2 linked regions of the Kluyveromyces lactis genome follow. The protein of the gene in region 1 interacts with the protein of each later gene in a pairwise test. Links are inferred from orthologs where the notes say so. Each region holds a gene or a part of one and is shown on either strand. Other genes may lie near its edges.

What was found.
Region 2: the proteins of TIM17 (region 1) and PAM16 interact in binary tests that used the Saccharomyces cerevisiae proteins (3 or more experiments, as listed by UniProt). The link is inferred for Kluyveromyces lactis from reciprocal best matches to the Saccharomyces cerevisiae genes TIM17 and PAM16.

What each region holds. Positions count from the first base shown.
Region 1 is NC_006037.1:543,465-545,650, forward strand, and holds TIM17 (protein transporter TIM17), read right to left. Parts: upstream 976-2,186; coding exon 511-975; downstream 1-510. Other genes in the region: serine/threonine protein kinase YAK1, read left to right, coding at 1-195; KLLA0_A05852g (uncharacterized protein), read right to left, coding at 1,386-1,640. UniProt on the Saccharomyces cerevisiae protein: Essential component of the TIM23 complex, a complex that mediates the translocation of transit peptide-containing proteins across the mitochondrial inner membrane.
Region 2 is NC_006042.1:1,283,275-1,285,359, reverse strand, and holds PAM16 (import motor complex subunit PAM16), read right to left. Parts: upstream 1,083-2,085; coding exon 663-1,082; downstream 1-662. UniProt on the Saccharomyces cerevisiae protein: Essential component of the PAM complex, a complex required for the translocation of transit peptide-containing proteins from the inner membrane into the mitochondrial matrix in an ATP-dependent manner.

The DNA of each region.
Region 1 (2,186 bases):
AGAGGAGTGTTGAACCTCAATCCACTCGAACGTTGGACCCCACAACAGGCCATTTTGCATCCCTTCATCACAGAAGAACCTTTCACAGGGGAGTGGTACCCACCGGGTACCATTCCAAAGAAATCACAAACAGCTCGTAATCCTTCATTACAATTCGACTCTGTAGCGTTGGACAAGTTACAACTTGGCGACTAATGTAAGCAAACACATATGTAGCATTTTGACTTGATATTTTGTATAATACCGATCTAATTAACCGAATAAAATAGGTTCTTAATTCCATTCACACCGCAGTTCAGTCCATCTCTCAATATTAAATGTGATATTTTCAGAAATATATATGATATTTATGTACATGGGTTTAATATTCCTTTCGTTAAGAGATATATAGTCATTAAGTTACTCTGATGCAATGGATAGAGAAACAAGAAGAAGAGAAGCGTATGGTACAGCGCAGCAACCGCACGAAACAAGTTTAGAAAATGGGAAGTCTGATTATTCTTCCGATCTTCAAGCTTGCATTGGTTGATCTGGCAAAGGTGGGGCCATTGGCTTTGCTTGCCAAGCAGCGTATCTTTGGAACATCAAACCAACACCTTCAATGACACCAAGTAAACATGCACAAGTGATAGCTGAGTTTCTGGTATGCTTCCAACCTCCTCTGATAGCCAAAGCACCACCGGTGAAGAAACCGGCAATAATAGCATTCCATGGATCTTCTCTTTTCCTCACGGCCTTAACACCACAGTCAAAAGTAGAAAACAAACCACCCCATACACCGAAGTTACCACCGACAACTGGTGCTCTGGCCTTAATTGCACTGACAGCACCAGCTCTTCTTTCACCTAGTGGAGAGTTACGGAAACCCTTGATACCATGCCAAACACAACCACCAATGACACCCATAGCAAAGGCACCACCGAAATCGTTAAGAATCACAATAGGACAAGGATCCCTCGAATGATCAGCAGACATATTTGTATTATTCTAGATTATATTTGCCTTGATCCGAGAATTCAGTTTAAGCTCCAATATCGCTCTATGTCCTTGATATTAGCTGCCAAAAAAAAAAAGTAGATAGCCCTATCTTTCACCTTCTTTCTCCCACGAGTGATGTAGATTCTCTAATTCTGATAATGAATCTTAAATGCAGAGATCAAGCATACAATCATTACAGACCTGAAGACCAGTTATCTCATGGTGTATGATGTCTAACTTTGCCAGTTCCAGTTTCAATATTGAAAAATTTCTATGAAAATTCACGGCAGGGTAACGTTAAAACTAATAATTCATTCATTCATACTCAAAAGATACAAAATTATATACATATATGCTTAGATGATAGGCAATATGCCCTGCTGTCAGTAGCGTAAAGTGTTCTATGGCTATGGAAGTGGATTCGGATGCGTCTGGGAATTGTTCGTTCCACCATCGGGCTCATTTTGTGATTCACCCTGTGGGAAGACGACATAGTAGAACGTTATCGGTACCGGCTCGAACTGGTTCTCGTACTGGTTATGATATTGGTAAGTTGGTAGGACGTTCCTATCTGGTTCCTTTGCTTGCTGGGACGGAGGTGCAAGTCTTCTGGTCTGTCTCTTGGTTCTTATTCCTGTTCTAGATCTGTATGATTTTGTCATTACGGGGCGTGCGTGACTCTTCTGTATTGCTTAAGGATTTTGTACTCTCGTGATATTGTCTAAGCCTGCGAATGGACGCATTAATGAGCAAGGGACGACCTTGGTCGTCCTTTATATACAGATACTCCTTCCACGGATGTGAGTCAAGACCGATTTTCTTTCGTATTCCAAGAACTCGGTATCAAAGGTTACGGTCGATGCCCCTCGATGATTACTTCAGCCGCACAGAAATCCAGGCAGCAATGTCCGGAAAATCTATTTTCGTTCCGGAATCTTTCATCCACGTGATATACACGTGGATGTCACGTGAGAGTGGTTTTTCTTTCCCACTCTCTGTGTCTCTCTTTTTTGAGTCAGCTTACCATGACTCCATAAGAAAAGAAAGATTCGTCTCGAACGTGGAATGATGCAGTTGAAAGCGAATTTCTGTTGAGAAATCGTTGACTTGGTATCCTTGCTTCCTCTGAGAGTTCTGGGATTCAATCTCTCTATTAATTCGGTTGGTTCCGAACTGAGTCCCCGGGGCTCGATTATGAGTCGGTGGGT
Region 2 (2,085 bases), on another chromosome or scaffold:
ACCAATCATCAGTAGTGGTTAGTACTATCTCAAGATAATATTAATACACATATACACCATAGAAACCTACGGTTTCGGTTATCTCTTTTCTCAAGAAGTTTTTCCTAGGTTTCTTCGGAGATCTAGGAACGGCTTTAGTTAATACTGGAGAAGAGTGACTGTTACCATTTTTTAACCCATAGCTGAATGGATCCTGACTAGCCCCAAACAAGCTGGCCACAGTTTCCATTTCGTTTCCGGTTTCTTAGATCAATAAAGTTGGAAGCGCATTGAGTTGGGAGGGGAAGTCTCTTCCTTTTCCCGGTTTTTTGCATCACTTCTTTCTTTTAACCATTATGAAGAGGTCTGGAAAGTGATGATTAGAAGCGGTTTAACAGCTCGCTCTAGTTGTTCTTCCAGGTGTTGCATGTGATCCAGAGGGCTTTGCGTAATGGCTGCCTGAGAGTTTGGATTTTCACTCTCCGTTGTGCCCTTCTTCATGATGGAACAGTTTTCCCATCTTCTAGAGAATTTTTGTATTAATTAGTTGTAGACATAAATCAGCTTCATCAACCACTGATGATATTGTGCTGAACATGATACGATGAGCATGCGATGCGTGTATTTCGGTTTATTTGAACTATTTACAAAACTTATACTAGGCCAGAGAGAATGACCTTACGCTATTTTTTCAACTCCGGTGACTCCGTCGTGGAACTCGACTTCGCTTGTTCTTGATTCAGTTCTGGATTGGCAGCCTTTTCCTTTTCAGCAAGCTCGTACTTCAAACGCTCTGCTGCCCTGTAAATCTTACTCTGCAAGTAGAATGATCCACCTTTCTCTTTATCGTTGATCTCGAACAAATACTTGAATCTTTCGTTGATTTTATCCAAATTCATATCCTGTTCATTCTCAATGTTCAAAATCTTAGAACTCTCATCTAAAGTGATACCTCCGTATTCTGCGCTAGCACCACGGCCTCTAGAAGCATTTGCCGTTTGTTTAGCTGTTTGAGCTGCTGCTTGTCTGTAAGATTCCGCAAACGCACGTCCAAACACCTGTGCCCCGGTGAAAATCACCTGTATAAACGCTCTGTGTGCCATATCCTATAGTCTTGTTGTATTTCTTGGATATGCGCAGTTTACTCGAACTGGAACGGCGTTCTTAGACAAAGCTTAGAAGTTAATCCGATGAGTAGTTTAGTGTTTAATGCTGTTATTAGTTCCAGTTCTTTCTGTTCTCAACTTTTCGATGACTTTTCGAAAACAGAAGGGGTTACCCGGGGATGTCAAGACCAGCCCCACATATTTGCTGTGACACCGTCAAATAACTATATATCTGGTTGACAGCTATGCCTCATTAGAATGATTTAGCTAGTCTACAATGACTACAGATGGAGTTTGTAATTGCATTCGCTCATTCAGGCTTTTTATAGGGTATTTTTATGAGGTTTTAGCTTCTCATTCCACATTGTAGAATGTGGCATCGGAAACGACGCAGGTATCAAGAAATTAAACGATAGGTGATCCCAGCAACAGCAGCTACGCTGCTGTTGCATTGATTGGGGATGTGAATTCAGCATGCTAGTACTAGCGTAGTACTGTAACGGGGAGGAGGGGGGGGATCCAGTTTGGGAGCGTGGCTTTGTATCTGGGGTCATGGTCACGTGATCAATTATTAGCAACTCAACACCCAATCCCCATTTCAAACTTGAGATACCTCTTAGTACTCAGGCCATACTATCTTATGGCCTGAGATATATAAATTCATGATGGCTCGTCTTGATGTATCATGCCCTCATTTTTACCATTGTTCCCCCTCTCTCTCTCTCTCTCAATTTCGGTTTAAATTGAAAAGTTGAGTAGTTAATTCTACCGAAACAAACGACTTCTCCGAAACTAAAACAGGTTCTAACAGACACACAAGGACTCAACAAGCGTGATTCAATCGTATCGCAGGTGGTTCAAACTAATTTAGGTTGCATCTCGCCGTAAGGTTTTTGTATCCTACTTTCAAACGCATACTTCGCAACTCTGGTTACGGCTCCGGTTCCGAACCAGTTAATATTGTTTTCGCTGGTCCGGAGAGAATTCTATAATAAAAGCA